3 linked regions of the Drosophila melanogaster genome follow. The gene in region 1 interacts genetically with each later gene. Each region holds a gene or a part of one and is shown in the gene's direction. Other genes may lie near its edges.

Evidence for each region. A genetic interaction does not mean that the proteins touch.
Region 2: of Sirt1 (region 1) and hdm, changing one suppresses a phenotype caused by changing the other (phenotypic suppression), as found in Drosophila melanogaster (one study listed by BioGRID).
Region 3: of Sirt1 (region 1) and Naam, changing one suppresses a phenotype caused by changing the other (phenotypic suppression), as found in Drosophila melanogaster (one study listed by BioGRID).

Annotation. Positions count from the first base shown.
Region 1 is NT_033779.5:13,162,570-13,170,757, forward strand, and holds Sirt1 (sirtuin 1), read left to right. Parts: upstream 1-2,994; 5' UTR 2,995-3,421; coding exon 3,422-4,631; intron 4,632-4,810; coding exon 4,811-6,072; 3' UTR 6,073-6,982; downstream 6,983-8,188. Other genes in the region: kmg (kumgang), read left to right, coding at 1-537; DnaJ-H (DnaJ homolog), read right to left, coding at 981-1,634, 1,747-2,193, 2,256-2,324; Sfmbt (Scm-related gene containing four mbt domains), read right to left, coding at 7,883-8,188. UniProt on the Drosophila melanogaster protein: NAD-dependent histone deacetylase involved in heterochromatic silencing. Mildly suppresses the heterochromatin-mediated silencing phenomenon known as position-effect variegation (PEV). Required for epigenetic silencing of the polycomb group proteins.
Region 2 is NC_004354.4:7,917,149-7,923,119, reverse strand, and holds hdm (hold'em), read left to right. Parts: upstream 1-2,988; coding exon 2,989-3,904; intron 3,905-3,955; coding exon 3,956-4,112; intron 4,113-4,215; coding exon 4,216-4,603; downstream 4,604-5,971. Other genes in the region: YKT6 v-SNARE, read right to left, coding at 1,756-2,230, 2,320-2,444; snz (snazarus), read right to left, coding at 5,797-5,971. UniProt on the Drosophila melanogaster protein: Single-stranded DNA-binding protein required for meiosis. May be involved in the resolution of recombination intermediates into crossovers in the meiotic recombination pathway.
Region 3 is NT_033777.3:19,668,613-19,675,317, forward strand, and holds the start of Naam (nicotinamide amidase), read left to right. Parts: upstream 1-2,837; 5' UTR 2,838-3,131; intron 3,132-3,664; exon of another isoform or gene 3,665-3,737; intron 3,738-6,705. Other genes in the region: CG7432 (uncharacterized protein), read left to right, coding at 1-1,195, 1,252-1,362, 1,416-1,728, 1,789-1,888, 1,950-2,008.

The DNA of each region.
Region 1 (8,188 bases):
CTGTGCGCCTATCGCTCCAACTGGCGCTGGGACATCACCAAGCACATCCGTTTGAAGGCCCTCCGCGATAGATCCCATAACCAGGCCCAGGTGCTGATGAACGATGAGACCGGTAGGCGCAACTACGCCAAGTACAATCAGTATCTGACTATGATGAAGGTAAGCGCCGAACAATTGGCCGATTCGAAGGGAATGCGCACGGGTGAAATGATTGTGATGCCGCCGGAGAAGCTAGACGACCATCATCCCATGGAAACGGAGGAGATCATCGAGATGGTGGATAGTGCTCATTCGACCTCGGCACTGGATTTACGAAAGCCCAGGGATGACCAGACGGAGGACTTGGCAGGCAACAGCGATGAGCTGCCGCAAGAGGGAGCCAAGACGGAGCCAAATTTAGAACCCTTGTCATTTAAATCATTGAATTCATCACAAGTCATGCCAAAGCCCAAAGGGTCGCCTATGAATTTGACCAAGACAGATGGTGGTCAATCAGACGAAACGACATCCGCTGATGAATCCAATGAAAGCGATTAAAACGGATCTTTCGAATCTTTGAATACTCAATTCTCAGCAACAATATTAAAAATTAAATAAAAATACGTAAATCGATTTAAATTTATCCGGTTTTTAAGATTTCTATGAGAGAACTATTATTGTGTATTCGTTTATAGTTTTGTAGGGATAATTGGGGCAAGTTCAGCCCAAAAAATAGGTACCAATAAATAAGTAGTTAATAGTTAATTTAGCGTGGCTAATGTATTAGTGACAGATCAGCTAAGCTTTAGTCTCGAATAATAACACTACGAATTTAGATCACGCGCTTTTCACAGCAAACATTCCTGTATGAAAAATAATACTATGCATATCAGGACGAACAGCGGCACCAGGAAGCAGACTTCATCTACGCTGAAAGTGCCCAGGATGAGCCACAAATCGAGGCAGAGATACCGCGCCTGCAGGAGCCACAACCACATGCACTAAGCCGTCTGGCACTGTACGCCCTCAAAGTGAGACGACTGTCCGTCCTCGTCTTCCTGCTGTCGTGGCTGCGGCTTATAGTCCGTCATTTGCACTTCCTCGGCGTTCTTTGGGATCACTATCGGCTGTCTGGGAGGGAGTAAGTCCTCCAGCATGGCCAACTGCGGTGCCGTGGCAAAGTCGTTGTCCGGAAACTTAACCTTAAACTTCATGTAGAGATCTCCACTGTCGGTGGCCTTGTTAAAAACAGGCATACCACTGCCTCGCACCATCTTGATCTGGTTGTGCTGCAACACTTCACCAGGGTACGTGCGCAGACAGACGTTTCGTCCATCCAAGTGCTTGAAACAATGCGAGTAGCCGCACAAGGCCTCCGTGATGTTGATCTCCAGGTCTCGCATGTACAGATTGGCATGGCGGCGCTGAAAGATTGGATGTTCCATCTGGGAGATGACTACAATCAGATCCCCAAATTCGCCGCCTCGCATTTGGTGGCCCTCATTTGCGAAGGGAACTTTTAGCATGTGCGGTGCTCCTCGCTCCACAACCAGGTCCCGCTTCATCTTCTGCTCTACGAAACCACTGCCCTGGCAGGGACTGCACTTCTTGTCGTCCCTTATGGTGAAGCCCCTGCCATCGCAAGTCGGACAGGTCTGCAAAAAAAAATAATTTAAATAATCTGCTCCGAAGTGTGGTATATGGGATCTCCACGGATGTGTGGTCCGCGGTGTGCATTCACTACAACTACAATCAATTCTTACATACCGTATCGAAGGGGCTGAGACCCATGAAGGTAAATGCGGCCGCTCGTCCAGCTCCGCCGCAGGTCTCGCAGCTCTCGTGCGCTTCCTTGGGACCGCCATCGCCGTTACACTTGGAGCACAGCTTCTGGCGATTGTACTCCACCTTCTTCTTCATGCCGCCGACGTAGATCTCCTCCAGGGTCAGCTCCACTTTTACCACGACTTTGCCATTGCGCCTGCCCCGACCTTCGGACGAGACTCGATCGAAGGGGAACCACTGGGCGAAGAATTCGGAGGCATCAGAGAATCCCTCGGCGCCCTCTTGCAGGCCCTTCAATCCATATCGGTCGTAGATGCGCCGCTTCTCGGGATCGGACAGCACTTCGTAGGCGAAGGATATTTCTTTAAACTTGTCGCCCGCATCGGGATTCTTGTCTGGATGGAACTCTTTTGCCAATTTTCGGTAGTTCTATTGGTGAAAAGGTGAATACAAACTATTTACCAACATATCGAATTGGAACTGTTACATACCTTTTTTATTTCCTCATCAGTTGCATCCGGAGCCACTTTAAGAACGTCGTATAAATTTAGGTTGTCCATTTCCTATTGCATCCCCAGTCCCCCTACAAACTAAAATATTTTGTACATTGTAAGTGTACGACTTATTAAATTATTTAACAATGTATTTATGACAATATTTTCAAGTCATATTGGCTAACAAGTATGCCCAAGTTCTACCAAAAACCTATAATTTTGGGGAAAGTACCAAATAAATACTTAAAATCGCAGCTTTTTTGGGGAACAGTAGACACTTGCTGGAACGTTCTGGAAATCTGTTTACACATTTTTGTATTTAACAGCTTGATGGAAGTTTTTGGACATATGAACTGCATATTATCAATACATCAATTTATAATACTACTATGAAATGTGTAAATATTGGACAAAAAAATTATTTTTACTTAATTGTTTAAATATCGAGTAAATTTGATAAGTAAAAGAGTGCTAAAATTAAAGTTCGAAGCATAATTTAAAATTAATTTTACTAACTTTTTGACAAATTATTGATATATTTTAAACAGTTTTTAAAGAAATGGATTAAATTAGATATGACATAAGGCAGTGGCCACTGTAGCAACACGTAATCACCCTCAAAAATCCCAAAAAATACTAAAAACATACCGTGATGAGTCATGCTGGCGGCACTTTCCATGCAGAAACGCGTTAGCACTTTCCACACGACGTGTCAGGGTCCCACCCGAATCACGTCTGCCAGCCCACATACACACACAGGCGCAGCTACGTGTGCCATCTTGCTTTTTTCATCGGAAAATTTTCCAGAAACTACGCTCGAAAATTACGAAAAAATCGCAACCAAATGGTGTCGAAATTTTTTTAAAATTTAAGTTTCGTGCATATACGTGAAATAAAGTCGGGTTGGTTGAAAAAATCGCGGCCAAACGATCGCTGGAGAATTTTTTCAATCAAGCCAAATGGGTGCGAAGCTGACGACGTAAAAATTTTTGTGTGTACCAACGAAAGAGCGGAGAAAACGGACGAGGCGAGAGCGCAAAGCGGAGAGACCGAGGAAACACTCGCGCAAGAAGAAGAAGAGCCAGCAACAGCACCAACTACGAGAGTTTTCTCTCCGTGAGTCTGTGTGTGTGCGCGTGTGCGCGCGCTTGGGTTCGGAAAAAATGATGGAAAATTACGAGGAAATTCGCCTGGGCCACATTAGGTCTAAAGATCTGGGCAACCAGGTGCCAGACACTACGCAATTCTATCCGCCAACTAAGTTTGATTTTGGCGCGGAAATTCTGGCCTCAACGTCAACAGAGGCAGAGGCAGAGGCAGAAGCAACAGCAACAACCACAGAACCAGCAACAAGCGAACTTGCTGGCAAAGCAAATGGTGAAATCAAAACAAAAACATTGGCTGCCAGGGAAGAACAAGAGATTGGCGCCAATTTGGAGCATAAAACCAAAAATCCCACAAAGTCAATGGGCGAGGATGAAGATGACGAGGAGGAGGAGGAAGAGGACGATGAGGAGGAGGAGGAGGACGACGAGGAGGGAATCACCGGAACGAGCAACGAGGATGAGGACTCCAGCTCAAATTGCTCCTCATCCGTGGAACCCGACTGGAAGCTGCGCTGGTTGCAACGAGAATTTTACACAGGTCGTGTGCCGCGCCAGGTTATTGCCAGCATTATGCCGCATTTCGCCACCGGCCTGGCGGGCGACACCGACGACTCCGTGCTGTGGGACTATTTGGCCCACCTGTTGAACGAGCCGAAGCGGCGCAACAAGCTGGCCTCAGTGAACACCTTCGACGATGTCATCAGTTTGGTCAAGAAATCACAGAAGATCATTGTGCTAACGGGAGCCGGAGTATCCGTCTCCTGCGGCATTCCGGACTTCCGGTCCACCAATGGCATATATGCGCGATTGGCCCATGATTTTCCCGATCTGCCCGATCCGCAGGCCATGTTTGATATCAACTACTTCAAGAGGGATCCACGACCGTTCTACAAGTTTGCCCGCGAGATATATCCCGGCGAGTTTCAGCCCTCACCCTGCCATCGTTTCATCAAAATGCTGGAGACCAAGGGCAAACTGTTGCGCAACTACACACAGAACATCGACACCCTCGAGCGGGTGGCAGGCATTCAGCGAGTAATCGAGTGTCACGGCTCCTTTTCAACGGCCTCGTGCACCAAGTGTCGTTTCAAGTGCAACGCTGACGCCCTGCGGGCGGACATATTTGCCCAGCGAATTCCGGTGTGCCCGCAGTGCCAGCCCAATAAGGAGCAGAGCGTGGATGCCTCGGTGGCCGTTACTGAGGAGGAGCTGCGCCAACTGGTCGAGAACGGCATCATGAAGCCGGATATCGTCTTTTTCGGCGAGGGTAGGTGCCATTTTTATACAGATTTATTATATATTATCAATAGCCTTGGTAAAATAAATGCAAGAATTTCAAATTCGACGATCAAAAGAAGTGTTTATTTAAGAGATAAACTATTGAAAATACAAAGTAACGCTATTTACCATATATCATATTGTGTTTGCTTTTCATATTGCCAACAGGACTGCCGGATGAGTACCACACGGTCATGGCCACCGACAAGGACGTGTGCGATCTACTGATCGTGATCGGCTCCTCGCTGAAGGTCCGACCTGTGGCCCACATTCCCAGCAGCATACCGGCCACGGTGCCGCAGATTCTTATCAATCGCGAGCAGCTGCATCACCTTAAGTTCGATGTGGAGCTGCTGGGCGACTCCGATGTGATCATCAACCAGATTTGCCACCGGTTGTCGGACAACGATGATTGCTGGCGGCAGCTGTGCTGCGATGAGTCAGTGCTTACCGAAAGCAAGGAGCTAATGCCTCCGGAGCACTCTAATCACCACCTCCATCATCATCTACTTCACCACCGCCACTGCAGTTCAGAGAGCGAGCGACAGTCGCAACTGGACACGGATACGCAGTCTATTAAATCAAATAGTTCGGCGGACTACATACTAGGATCAGCTGGCACCTGCTCGGATAGTGGATTTGAGTCATCTACTTTTAGCTGTGGAAAGCGTTCCACTGCCGCCGAAGCGGCAGCCATCGAACGTATTAAAACAGACATACTGGTTGAGCTGAACGAGACCACAGCCCTAAGTTGCGATCGTCTGGGCCTGGAAGGCCCTCAGACAACGGTGGAGAGCTATCGCCATCTTTCCATTGATTCCTCCAAGGATAGCGGCATCGAGCAGTGCGACAACGAAGCCACGCCTAGCTACGTGCGACCCAGCAATCTTGTTCAGGAGACCAAGACAGTGGCGCCCAGCCTGACGCCCATTCCACAACAGAGGGGAAAGCGACAGACAGCAGCCGAGCGTCTGCAGCCTGGAACATTCTATTCGCACACCAACAACTATTCGTATGTGTTTCCAGGAGCCCAGGTATTCTGGGACAACGATTACAGCGATGATGATGACGAAGAAGAGGAAAGATCACACAATAGACACAGTGATCTCTTTGGCAATGTGGGGCACAATTATAAGGATGATGATGAGGATGCATGTGATCTGAACGCCGTTCCATTGTCACCATTGCTACCGCCTTCACTGGAGGCTCACATAGTCACCGATATAGTGAATGGATCCAACGAACCGCTGCCCAACAGCAGTCCCGGCCAGAAAAGAACCGCCTGCATTATAGAACAGCAGCCAACGCCCGCTATTGAAACGGAAATTCCCCCACTAAAGAAGCGGCGACCAAGTGAGGAAAATAAGCAGCAGACCCAAATAGAAAGATCTGAGGAGAGTCCGCCTCCAGGACAGTTAGCAGCAGTGTAAACGTAATCTTAGCCCCTGCTAGTAGTGTAGTATTTATTTTAAATGCAATTCAAGCCAACTTGTAAACAGAGAAGCTGCGAAATCGTAGCCGAGGGCCATGTTACCAATTTCATTCCCCGGAAAGGTACTGGAATCGGAAACGGTAAACCGTTTACTTGTTATTTATTTAGAATATGAGAACACTTCAATTCCCGGTATCACGAAGTTTTCAAGAAATGAAACCGGATCCACTAGTTTACTCAATTCGAGGCTTTAGAGATCTGACCCTCGTTGCTTTACCACCAACCCCTTATGCCCAATCCCGTTTTGATATTTTTGAAAAACTCTTAGTTTATTTATTATCTCTCTTTTTCAAAACGAAACGCTGTAAATGTTAGTATTTTATTATATTAAGTTGTTATTGAGGCCTTTTTAGACAAACTAAAGAGATAAGCGGAAAGTTGAAAATCCTTTAGAAAGCAGGATTTCTTTGTATTCAAAGAGAAGCAGCGCCTCAACTTTAAATCTAGTTCTAAGCGTAACATATTCAAAACTATGCAAATGCAAACGGAAAAATACGTTAGTTTTAGTTAAAAACTAGACACAAACACTCTGTATATAAGCACTCGCCCCTAATTTGTATTGTACATGATTCTTTTTCTACTTTTTTGTGTTATCTCCTTACCATTTTATATTTCTATCGGTTATGGCAACTATTTTTTAACATTTATACACTCGCACCCACATCAAAATGTAACAGCGCATGGATTTCAAAATATTCATAAGAGTTGGAAATTTGGTGTGCGTGTTTGAAATGTTTATTCGAAACCTAGCATAAATATATAGCCACCAAACGCAGTGTAAACATAGCAGTAAGAATTTAGTCTATATGTCTTAAAAGTGTATTAATATCCAGAATATAAACCAATCTAAAAAAAAAAAAAACAGAAATGAAAATGAGTTTTGACTGTAGAGCACATATAAACCCAAAGAAAACCAACACATATAAAAGTTAGTCGGCGATATTTCAATACTTGCAATTTTGAATTCGGTTTTATTAAAGTATCTTGACATTAGCTGGTACCTTAGGGATATCTAAATACATATTTTATCATTAAGGTTGCCTTCTTCAAAAGTTTGCCTTACACCAATAATGCCCTCCTTGCAGAGATGTGTGACACCGGAACGAAGTTAACCGAAGGAGAGAGCGGCTAGTTAATCGTGGATCTTACAGACTAGGAGCGACTTCCAATCGCTCCGTTTACGACTGAAAGTTGAGGGCATGCTGCCTGGGTTATTTGCTTGCGCTTGCTTCTATATAAAATATGATATTCTTGGGTCCTATATAATCGGCGACGGCTTATTTTATGTACACTGTACAAGCCCATGCTATGCAATCTCCCCATATATTCATGTGAATACATGTGTTGCATGCATTGTTATTACTCTTATTTTTATAAAAATATGCGTGATTTAAAAAAAGTCACTGTCATCAATTCAATCATCTTTATACAATTGTTGATATAGAACTCTGACTGATATAACATGAGCGTACGCCTAAGGTCTACGGTTTACAATTTAATCGGTATAAAATAACGCGCTGTGAGACTTGAGTTAGTTATACAATTGTATCATGGATGGTTGATCCATTCTAGGCAACGTTTGTGTTTCGATTTCCAGTGCTAACAAAATACTTCAATATCTATATATCTATATATATATATATATATATTATATATGCATACGCAGTAGTGTACACGTATAAAAGTGTGTGTGTGTGTTCTATCGGTGATAACTTTCGTTTTGCTTTGAAAAAACTAAAATCCGCGCACTATAAAAACGGTGATTTGTTGGTCTTGTGGGATCTGGCTCTGCCCGGATTAACCTTGCACTTAAGCTGTGCAATAAGGTCGGAAATTTTCAGTGCTGGGCCCACCTTCATGCCCAACAGTGGCATGATATCGTCCTTGGTCAGCTGCAGGAGTCGCTTTCCGTCGATCTTGTTCCGGCTGAACGTGTCACAGTGGGCTGTGCAATCGTTCACCCGCAAGAACTGGGATACGTCGTACACGTTCCATGTATCCGGCACCAGCTCCAAGTGAGGTTCACTCGAATCGATGTCGGCCAGACGCGGAAT
Region 2 (5,971 bases), on another chromosome or scaffold:
AAACACTAGAATCGTGGGGCAAATAACATTTAGCTGCTGCATGTAAGCTAAAGTTGCCACCGGCAAACGGAACTAACTTTAAAATAATAAAAATAATGCAAGTTGAAACCAAAACCCATTGTGATAACAGCTGCGTAAACGAAACACGTTAGAACCTTACTTGTACGTATTTCGATTGGAATTCGATGAAACGGGGATCCCCCACTAAGTCCTAAATAATATAAATTCAATCAAAAGCAAGCAAGCCAACAATTTATCCAAACTAGTTTTTAAATGAATACAAAACTCATCCAGCCGCACATACACACGTATTTTTTACTGATTTGAAAAGAAGGGAGAACTTTTCTTGATTTTCATTTGTTGTGTTGACCAATGCTAATTTTTAGCGAAAAAATTGAGAAGAAAAAATACACATACCAGGAAACACAAATGCAAATTCTTAGCCATTTCGAAGGAGCGTGCATTTAGAACATTGCATCGACTAATATTTACACTTGCATATATTGAAAGCATTTGAATAAATTCTAAATATTACTATAGATCACTAACACAAAAAAAAAATGCATACAATGTTGATGCAAATCAATAAAAAACGAGAAGCCAAGCAAACGCGTTTGAATCAATGTTTGCAGCTTAAGCTAAGTTAGCACACACAATATTATATTAATTATAACGAAACGATATAGGTATGCAGTATAATGCATATATTTATAATGCACCGCCTCCCCTTTCTCCCCGCGCAAACACACAAGAAAATTGCGATGGAGAGGGGGCGAAAACTAAATTGTAATCGATTTACCTATCTTATACTAGGCTATACAAACCGAACCCATTAAACATAACCAAAATCCAAAAGGTTAAACACGAAAACGTAAGGAAAACGCATAAATATGAAAAATGTAACGGAAATCTTTACAAGAAGCGAAATAGGTGTCTTCTATATAATAAATAAACGCCAACAGAAAATCACTTTTAAATTGATTTTGCTTTTTTGGGAGGAATGGAATTTGCACTTAAGATAAAGTGGTACGTATTACATAAATAAAAATAAGTTCATGTGCTATGTACAGAGCTCGTACAAATAGTTTGTACATTTTGCCAAAATTGACAAAGATAAGGTTTGTATATGTGAGCAATGAAAACGAGCTTGGTTCACATTTCCCATAATACTTCTTTATTGAAACGCCCACACATTCCGACCGCCAGTTGCCCGGATCGGAAGTGCGACTGCATGTGTATACATAGGTGCAGCCTTCCGATCCGATTGGTATACATAGATCCGCCGTGGAGGCGATAAGAAGGCCCACAACATCAATAGCTAGCAAAGGGCCAATTTTGGACCGCCGTGCCAACACATAAGTGAAGAGAAGATTATGTTAAGCACATGGGTTTAGATCGTAATCTGTATTGGTAGTAATTAACATTTAGATATCCAAAGCGTAGACATATACAGACAGGTAGACATTGGGTTAGCGGACTATCGTAACTGGCAACTGGCCATCCTATTCATACAGTATATAATATAATATATATATATAGTATATAAAATTAACTAATTCATTTATAAAAAGCAATCATCAAAGCCCAAGTCGCACCGCTCCCTTGGAGTTTGTTTGGTTGTAGTTTGTTGGTGTTATCGTGTTATCCATTATCCTTTGTGTTGTCTTTGATTTGCATTTTCTGGTGTTTCCTGTTGTGGTTGTTGCTTGAGAGGATTAGCGTGTGGTGGGGGGTGATGAGAGGTGCAGCTGTCGTCTAGGTGAAGCTGCAGCAGGAGTTAGTCTTTTTCGCCGTCTTGTAGAACGCCTTGCTCTGCAGCGACAATTTCTCCGACTTGCTGACCATGTCGTCCAGCTTCTCGCCCCGCTCCAGCACCGCCTCGATGGTATTCTTCAGTATGATCTTCGTTTCGTCCAGGTCGTTTTGCATTTTCGTCAGCGGATCTGCTTCGACGGGATTTTGATAGCGTGCTAGAAACGCTGGCAGCAAGTCAAATGAGATAGTGGCCTCCGTGCCATTGGGCCACTGATCGGCCGACACCTTGGCCGTAAAGTCATCCAGAATCTTTGTGATAAGCGTGTGCGCCACGCGATGCGGATACTCATGATCGGCGATCAGTACACCGGCCAGATTGTCCGCCCGCACATAGACATGACACATGTAGGCATCCTGTTTCACCGATTGCCGCAGGGCCGGCTGTGTGCGCTCCACAATCGTCTTCGAAGCGAAACTGCAAGAGGAGGAGTTGTTTAGGGGGGTGTTCGTCATTGATGACTCTTTGAGCCTGCGCCGTTCTTTGGCATCCACATGCATACTCACGTCATGAACTCGTTGACGGTGCCACGTTGGAAAAAGGAGAAGGACTGCAGGTCCGAGGCGGTCTTCAGGAGACGCGCCTCGCTGGCGCCCTTGTGAAAGATGCTCAACGCGAATAGTTTGACCATTTTGAGTGGCTGTGGGCTGCCAAGACTGGGTCTGCGGGTCGCGGGTTGCTCGACTGTTGCTCCTCCAATTAAATGCTTCTGGGGCACTGAGCTGAACGGTTGTCCTGGCTAATCCTACTATGCTCCGGCGGATGGGTTTCACTTTCAGCGCACTGGCATTCGTGGAAAAGTGCGACAAGTGAGTTTGTTTAACGCAGTAAATCTGTGCCGTTCCCCTCTGTGTGTGCGTGTGTGTGTGCGCGGGTGCACATATGCGTAGTGTGTGTCAGCTTATTAGGGATGGTACGTCTGGTATTCGGATGCCATCCGATTATTATCGATTCCAATGGTTACAATTAATAAGCGCAACTTTCTGTAAATGTTTTAATTGTGGTTTTTATCAAACTAAGTTGTTAGCAATACTTTCTGTTACTAACTGAATCTACGGCCATTTGTGGTGTACCATCACTACAAACATCGATAACTACTAATCGGCGGTAACGGCAATGTAACGGTTTTCTTAAGCACTGCAATCTGACTGGTCGCGATTTCTTAAATAATTTCAATGGCAAGGCGTATTAAGTTCCAGCGGTTGGCAGAGATGCGTCCCACAATGACCCGTTTCTCCACCGTTGCCCTGATTGTCTCCAAATCCTCGCCGAACATCTTCTATGACAAGATGAGTGGCACCGAACGAGGGGTTCTCAGCTTGACCATCCGAGATTCCCCCAATCACCTGACCAATTGCAAGTGCTGGGGCCAGCGGGACTGTGTGGATGAGTACGCGGCCATGCTGCAGATCGGCCATGTGGTAGACATTGTGGGCGCTAAAGTGATGTCCATACCGTTTGCTGCTCCGGGAGAACAGCGTTATCAGCCCCAAGCGACGGTCTCCTGCGCCCTGGTGGTCAACGAGGGATCCGGCTATGTGGTGCGCCACGACAATGACGACTTTGGCCAAATAACAATTCTCCAGCAGTTACTCCATCAGCCCATAAGGCCACTTGGTGCGGTCCTTAAGCTGGCGGATGTGCGTTCCGGCTTGGGATTTCCCGATAAGATAATCACCACCAATGTGAATCTACTGGTAGTAGTGGCTGCAGTGCGTCCAGTGCGTCAGATAAAGCGAAAGCTGCAGGGGCCACTAAGTGAGGTCCAGGAGCTGCTACAGTGCTTGGAAGTAATCGTGATCGATGCCAGCTATCCGGAAGGTATGCTGCTCTCCGTTTGGCAACCCGACTGGATACAACGTGCCCAGCAATGGCAGCCACGTCGCACTGTCCTTCATTTGATCGACGTGCGTGTTTCCTACTCGAACTTTCATCGTTCTCTCGTCCTCTCCCATTCCAATTGCACACTTATTTGCGAAAATCCTCAGGCGGCTGGAGATGATTGCCGTCTCTTGCTAGCTTTCGCCGCCACTGTGCCTCTAACAACTTTTAGTGGCTGTGACCAGGCAGAGCTGGACAACATGCCTGCAGGTGAGTAAAGGATAATTAATGCAGTATTATTATTTACTATAACTCTTTCAGTTGCCAGCATTCAGGCGCAGATGACGGTAAGACAGATATATTCACGCGCCGAGGGCGAACTGCAGGATCCGTCCATACATCAGTTTACTGCAGTGCTGTATGGGATGGTCACCAAGTTCGACTTGGATGGATTGACCTCCCACGTCAACAGGAAGTGGTGGGTGTTGTACATCCCCATCCCTTCCTAACCGCCGAAACGCTTCCCACTATCCGTTACATAGTTTACAAGACATATTCTTAAAAGCCCTTTTATTTTACAGCATTGCCTGTCAACAACATATACCACGGAACCTGCAAGATTGCGCCTCGGACGCCTGCCAGCAGTATTTTTCATTGGACAATGATGAACCACGATCCATTAGCTACTTCAATATCAACATTCATTTGTCCGACCAGACCGGCACTCTCGTCGAAGCCCGGTTAGCTGGACATCCGGCAGAACGTATCCTGGGACTTCGGGCTGAAGACTTCGAGCGACTGGCGGAGCGCGAGAAAAGCGAGCTAAAGTGGCGCTTTCTGCTGAAATACTTCGAGGTAAGATTGATGATCAAAAAGCCGGTGGGAGTGCGCAATCATCTCGTCATTGTGGTCGTCGACATGCAAGCCATTCCCCTGGAAAAGCTTGTCGCAAATATGGTCGTTTTCTAAGTGTATGTGGGGTGGTCCCATCAAAATACTGGTGAACCATCTACATAAATAGCGATCTTTATTTCGCATTTTCACATAAAAGTGTACAACTGCAATACATAAATAGATTGAAAGCGCCTCGAAACTCTTAATGTGGGTCCTAAGTGGGATACGTTTGGCTCATTGGGGATGAATCATCTAAGTGTCATTTTGCCTAGTGTTACAGAAGGTGCCGGTGTCTTTGGGTCGTGGTGGTGGTGGGTGGGTGTCTACGGGGCGTTTCAGGTCCACAAAACTGATTTTGGGTCAATTCTAAATGTTGTAATTTCGAGTTGTGTGTTTTAACATGGTATCAAAATGCATTTGGATAACCACAAATGCTTAAGGATTAATGCTTCTTTAAAGTCCTGACTTGCGACTGTTTTATTGTGTTATCAAACGTTCTGTTTTTTAAGACAGCCTCAATCAACGCTTAGTCTTTAAGATTATTTGATACCATTACCAATTTTGGTCAATTAGGAAATTTCAAATACAATTTTTAATTGATGGTTATCGATGTGCAACAATTGAATCATTTTAATACAAATTCGAAAAAGAATACAATGTGTGTCAATACGGAAGTTGCTTTATGGCCATGGAACGCACTGTTCTGGACGCCCATTAGCTTGCCTCAAACTAATCTCACCTGTTGTGTTTCTATAATATTTTTGGGGGGAGGATGGATCTACAGCTGGCGCGGCATGGGAATCACAAGCACCGACTCAACGCCAGCTGCAGACGCAACTTTGGGCTCAATATCTGCTACTAAACTATAATTAAAATCAATCCAAACTGAGTGTCACAATTTACTATACGAGTATATAAACAACGATTTGGTACAACGCTTAATACTGACCTATGTACAGACATATACACATAACAAACAAATCTGGCTACAGGAAGTGATGGACGAACGAATCAACAAGAACTGAATTCATATGGATTGTAAGTCTGCATTTGTACAGGGAATGATACTGGTACTACTGAGTTGTGTTGTGTTCTACATAACTATTCTTTGTAATCCCTTTCCTCGGCTAAATCAACAATATCCACCGGTTAGAAAGAGGGAGAGCATTAAACATTGAACATAAAATCAAACAAAACATAACATAAATAAAAAAAAGGGTTTAGGTTAAAGTAAAATCTAAAACGAAGTGGTTCTTCTTAAGTTCACTTCACTTCGAACTGCCCGCTTGCGAATGGTGGTGCTGCTGCTGCTGGTGGTGGTGGGATCCGTGGTGGTAATGCGATTGGTGGTGCGAGGCGGCACCACCACCGGTGGCGCCACTCGCGCCAGCTGAGGATCCGCTGGCCGACGAGGATCCCTGATGGTTTTGGTGACCCCCCGTG
Region 3 (6,705 bases), on another chromosome or scaffold:
GAGCGCTCAACCATGTGGGGCACATGCTGGTGGACATAACTCGCGGTGGACAGGATCAGGCCAAAATGGAGGGGGCGGAGAAGAGTGAGGATACAAGCCAGGACAATAGTCAGTCGGGTGGATCGTCCAGCGCAACCGCAAGTGCTTCCAGCACCACCGAAGTGGTTCCCTCTTCCACATCCTCCCCACGAGGAAATTCCGAGCAACTGCCAGGAGTCTCAGACAAACTTATGGATCCTCTACCGATTACACTCTCTGCCAATAGTTTACTACCAGCTGGCAAGCCTGCGAATCTGAGTGTCATCCAAGTGGCAACTAAAAGAATCGGTATGGATGACTCTGCTCCCATGTTTGTGGAGAACAAGGAGCTGAAGCTAAAGAAGAAAAAGAAGAAGAATAAGAACAAGCAGAAGGTCAAGAAGCCCAGTGAAGAAGGTGTCCTGGTTCCGGTAGCCCAGGGTGCTCAGCAATCGCAGCAGAAGATCAAGATACCCACTACTCCGCGCACCACAACTACGTCCACCACCACAGAGGCACCTATTACTCTGACCCCATTGGATCAGTTGGCAGAGGCTAGTGATGAGGCAGGAACCGGGAAAGATGTGGAAAACTACTGCAAAACGCCAAGTGGAAGGCGAGGACGTTGCGAGGATCTCAGCAGTTGTCCCGCTCTGCTGCTGAATCTCAGCAGCTTGAGAGAGTCCCTGTGCTTCAAGAGTCTCTATGTGCCGGGCGTGTGCTGCCCCATTTCCTCATCCTCCACTGTTTTGACCACTCAGAAACCTCTGAGGCTGACCACTCGTCCCACGACGACCACCAGCACCACCAAGGCTACGCAACCCACGAAGAAAAGCACTGTTCGACCCACCACGCGCCCCACATCTGGTCTCGTGCTCATTCCCCAGAAGAAACCGCCCACTACCACGACGACCACCACGACGGAGGTGCCTCTGGAGCCGGAGGGTCTGGACGAGATCGGCAACAACATTGTGGACCCCGATGAGTGCGGTCAGCAGGAGTACTCAACTGGTAGGATTGTGGGCGGAGTGGAGGCTCCGAATGGTCAGTGGCCATGGATGGCAGCCATTTTTCTCCATGGACCCAAGCGCACGGAGTTCTGGTGCGGTGGTTCGTTGATTGGCACCAAATATATCCTGACAGCTGCGCATTGTACGCGGGACTCGCGTCAAAAACCGTAAGTCATAGTGAGTCCTGCATTTGATGGGCACTAATATCGACTTTTTCTTCTAGATTTGCTGCTCGACAGTTTACGGTTCGCTTGGGTGACATCGATCTGTCAACGGATGCGGAACCCTCTGATCCCGTGACCTTCGCCGTCAAGGAAGTGCGCACCCATGAGCGGTAGGTTATGGACCTCCTAATGTGAATAGTATTGGTAACGTGTGTATCCTCAGATTCTCCCGCATTGGATTCTACAATGACATTGCCATCCTTGTTTTGGATAAGCCCGTGAGGAAATCAAAGTATGTAATCCCTGTCTGCCTGCCAAAGGGAATCAGGATGCCGCCCAAGGAACGGCTTCCCGGACGTAGAGCCACCGTTGTGGGCTGGGGCACCACCTACTACGGTGGTAAGGAGTCCACCAGCCAACGACAGGCGGAACTGCCCATTTGGCGGAATGAGGATTGCGACCGCAGTTACTTCCAGCCTATCAACGAGAACTTCATCTGCGCAGGATACTCCGATGGCGGAGTGGATGCTTGTCAGGTGAGTTAATAAAGGAGTTTCCATTCATAGAGGATCAAAACTAATTTAACCGTTTTGCAGGGCGATTCTGGCGGTCCTTTGATGATGCGATATGATTCCCACTGGGTTCAACTGGGAGTGGTGTCCTTTGGCAACAAGTGTGGTGAGCCGGGATATCCAGGTATGTTGCGCTACAGAAACATTACTTTAAAGAGCATTTACTAATTTTTATGCCCATCCAGGTGTCTATACTCGAGTCACTGAATACCTTGACTGGATACGCGATCACACGAGGGATTAATCGCATTCCCGTTCCACCGATCCACCTTAGCAGTAACTATAGCCTAGGTTTAGGTACGCACTAGTCTATGTACTCTTAATGAACTTCCCCTCCTGATCAATGGAGTGTACTATTTATTAACCGCATCCCATCGCCATGATGATTGGCATTTGTTGACTAAATTAATATATATATTATATTTAATTTTGATAAATAAAATGTGTAAACAAAATATAGAGTGTTTCAAGACACCGGAAATTCGTAGATATAATATTTTGGTATTTCAAGCTGCTGCTTACTTACTAATTACTGTGACTTACTAATTAACTGTGTCTTGCTAACTAGTAATACATCCTATTAGCAGCTAGCATTCCCTAGCAAGATTTTCTTAAATGATAGCCTGAATTTATATGGTATATGGTGATTTTAAAATCATTTTCCATATATGGTCATATGCTCTGCAGCAGTAGGAGAAAATTCGCTGTATTGTAGTGGTTGAAATCGTAAAATGATCTTACGCAATCAAAAGCCAATGATCCAAAGCTAATTGACTTTGGATAAAACAATAGTAATCGTTTCAGTTTATATGAATCGAAGCGTGGGAGCGGCAAACAATTATTTACAGTTTGTAACTTTTGGAATTACGAGTGTCAATGAAATAAAGTGGGGGGATTTAATTCTATAATTTCGATAGCTATGCCCCTTTGTTCAGACATTCTGGAAACTATCAATGGGGAAGTGACTAAATGATAGATAAGTTTCATTCATTATTATTTATCACTTACTGGGAACTACTTGGTAAACAAACGTGAGCAATTGCATAAGGCTTTTTTCTCGATGCCGGTTCTCTCAGTTGGCATTAAGCTTTCACAGCTGACGGACGCGAATTGTTCCCTCCAACCGGCGAGTTCTTTAAGTTTCTCGGGAATGTTTGTATTATCTCAAAAAATTGACTACATCAACGAATTCTAAGTGGTATAATTACAGTTTGTGCTTGCTGTGAAGATTTACAGCTCGAATAAATCATAATATTGTACAATTAACGCTGATAATCACGAATTTGACATTGCTACCACATTCGGTGCGTGGACTCTGAAAGCTCTGAGTGTTTTGTTTATGCAAAGCTTTTTTGGACTATCGCGTGGTAAGTAGCCGAAAGAGAAAGCTCTCTTATACGGAAGATGAAGAGTGTGATTCATGAAAATGTATAAGAACGCGGGTCCAAAAAGTCAAGGGAGTTCTAGTGAAATGAAAAGTTCCAAAGGTTTTGAAATCGTTTTATTTTCTCGTTCGTATAATTATTGGGTGTCGATCTTTGTTGGGCAGTGTAAAGCACAAACTTTGAGCTTCATCATACATATCATATGTAAAGCCGGGACGAAAGCTTATGATTCTGTTAAGTGTCCGCCCAAGATAACATTTCTCCAGCCCTTCAAATCTTCAAATAAATACGGCTTAAGGCGAGCAAATTTGTAAATCAAATGATTTGTTAAATAAACATTATATGTATTTTATCATGCCAGGTTAGAACACATTGTGCTGATGCAAATAAAATTCCAATTAAACGCCCCTGAATGGGAAGATGACGCATCTTTAATGTGAATATTATGTTAAATTTAATATTATCGCAAAATAACTATAATAATGAAATAAAAAAAGACAAAAAACTATTTCGACTGTTCCCGCCCGGGTTCGAACCGGGGACCTTGTGCGTGTGAAGCACACGTGATAACCGCTACACTACGGAAACTCTTAAGAGATGGCCGGTTAAGGCCAGCCAGAGGCAAACCAATGAAAATGGAATTATGTTTCTATTTTTAGCCTGACGTGATTAGTTTATCTCAATGTTTCAGGTAATAAAAATTGAAAAGATTTACGGAGAAAGTTATAGTACGTTTATGAGAAGAAAGGTTAAATACCTTTGGATCGTGAGTTTGTGCCATCTTAGAATAACATTGGCCCCGGCTTGGCAGCAACAATGAAAACCCATTTCTTCGCCTTGTCATTCCGCTCTTAATTAGCCTTTATTTGTCCCCTCTTCACGGAGCCCCACAATTGGCCGGCATTTGTGCTTGTGAATAGAAGGGCCTGGGAAAGGGGCAAGGTAAGGCAAGGCATTCATGGCATGCCTGAAACACGCTGACCAGATTACCAACCAGAGCGCCAAGGGGCCAGGAGCGAAGCACACTGTGGGTGGGGTGCTCCGATGGCCCACCTTTAAATAAATTCGAGCACGCTGATCCTTGATTAAAATTCCTATTGTCTGCTTTGGTCCTGCCAAGATTTCCTCCCCTTTCAGGCTTTCAGGACTCCGCTTTTGTGCGGCGCCGTGAACGTAATTAATATGCAGGCCAGAACGGACTCTAACTGCTCTCTGGCACTCGTTATAATTACGCATTTAAATTGGCACAAAGGTTGAGGCCAGACATAACACACTTGGCAAAATAAAGTTATTTTTATAACTCATTTACTTGTTAGCTAATTATGTTTGATTTATAAACGCAAATTAAATATGCTTTTTTGTTTTTAAATAGTATTTTTATCGGAAAAACTTTCAAGTATTCAATGGTGTTTTCTCTCAGTGTCAGTAAATCCAAGAGCTTAGCCAAGAAGCGTCCACAAGGAAGCGCCTTCAACTCTTGCGTTGAATATGTATGTGCGCCAGTATATGTGTGCGTGTGTGTGTGTATGTGTTATGAGTTGGTGTTGGTGCACGGCCCCATAAATTTGGGTCAATGGGAAAAACGTCAGAATTGAGTAATTACAACATAATTTTCAATTTTGCAGTTTACGTTGTAAATTAATTTGCGGTCGACATTGGCGAAGCAGCCTCCGATCATTCCATCCCCTTTTTGCCTCAGCTTAGGCTGATTCGTGACGGCTTTTCGGGTGGGGTTCTTTGGGTTCCGAGCTCCGGCCTTTGAATTGGGATCGGGATTGGGCTTTGGTGTGGGTTTGGGGGATTGCACAACAATTAAAGCAACAATTACTGGACAAACCGGACGGCAGACGCCGGACTTAGCGTTGTTGTGCTGCGCCATAGTACATGGAAAATGTACATATACTGTTGTCTTTGCCACACGGGTCGCCGTTCGCCGGTTGGGGGTCATCTGTTTGTTGTGCATAATTAATTTGCAGTCATTCAGGCTGCCTCGCGTGCTGATACCCAGTAGCTAAAAGGCCAATCAGTTCGGCATACTGAATTGTCACGCAGGTTCACTGCTTTGGAGGTTCATTTCAAAAATCTATTGTAAATTCAATTGGCAAGGAAAGCATTAGATAGCTACTGAAAGTCAATCATTAGCGGCATTTAATTATTTGAACAGCATATTTAAAAGAAAGCTAGTTATGGCGGAATTTAAAATTATCTTACTCAATTTCTCCAAATGTCTTCTTTGGGTTTAAGATCCTGTTTCAAATTTTTTGAGCCTGATTAAAAAGATTTCATCTATTTGAACATGTTTTGTGTCCTTATACCTAAATGAAAAACGCGTTTAAAGGTGTCCTTTCGGGAACTTCGAGTAACAGAAGATCGACTTTGTTTTCCTGTTCTTTGGCAGTAGTACTTGTATTTTTAAGAGTGACAAAATAGTTTCCTCATCTCCATTATCAGCAGACCCAGGGGTGTTCTGCTCTCTGCACAAAACTGTTTACGATTTTACAGCTGAATGGATTTTAATTGAAAGACACGCTAGTGTCAATGGCACTCGACGAGGGGAGCCAAAGGGGACTTGGGGATGGGACTTTTGGGATATGTGTACGGTTTTCCCAGGGTAGGGCAGTTGCCAGCAGCTGTGACAAGATTTCGGATCATGTGGGTGGCGCCCGGCTTATGCAGAGTCGAGCACAGTCGAGTCGCCCGTTGCAATAAAAAATTGACCCGAAAATGTGTAACAAATGTTGTGACATATTTTCGCAACGTTTGCTAAGGCCCTCGCCAAAAAAAAAAGAAAAAACACAAAACGATTGCGAACCCGCTGCCAATGATCCTGAAAAGCGCAAGCTGAAAGAGTCTCTGAAAGGATGCTCTGAATGGGTTTTTCCCAGTTTCGGGTGAAAATCGGTTTCGGGCAACATTTGTTTTGGCCCACATATAACACAAAGTGTGTACAAAAATGAATATGAAAGAGGGGGTCGTCGGGCTTGTCCTGGAACTCTGTAACTGTAAATGTAACTGCAGCATGGCATGAACTTAATCTGCTGCCGATTGTTTTCCTTGCTTTTCCAACAGTAGGCGGTGGGTGGTGTTCAGTGGGCGGCGGGCGGTTTTGTTGCTCAATTTGTACTGAGGGACTATGGAGCGGGCTACTTGGGGCGACGAAGACCCAAATACGGCGCGTTTTCAATATTGCGGCAACAATTTTCATGGATTTTACGCTTTCTTTGTTTTTGCTTTGTTTTTGGCTTGTTTGTATTTGGCAACTCGGTAATAATGAAACCAGCTATTGGGAACAGCTCCGGTGGGTGGTGGGTGGTGGGTGGTGCTTGGTGGGCGGTGGGTGTGTTCATTTAATTGAAAACAAGGCGTGGCAGCGGCAGCGTCGGCAGCACTTAAACCGAAATTGAGAACAGATGGAATGGCAAGCGAAAAACTTACAATAATTGCCCACAACAGTTTGAAATTGAACGAAGCCACTCAAATGGACTGAAGTCCCGGCAGTTTCGGTTAACTGGGATGATTACCATCGACGGCAGATAAAGTTTCCGCAGCCACTTAA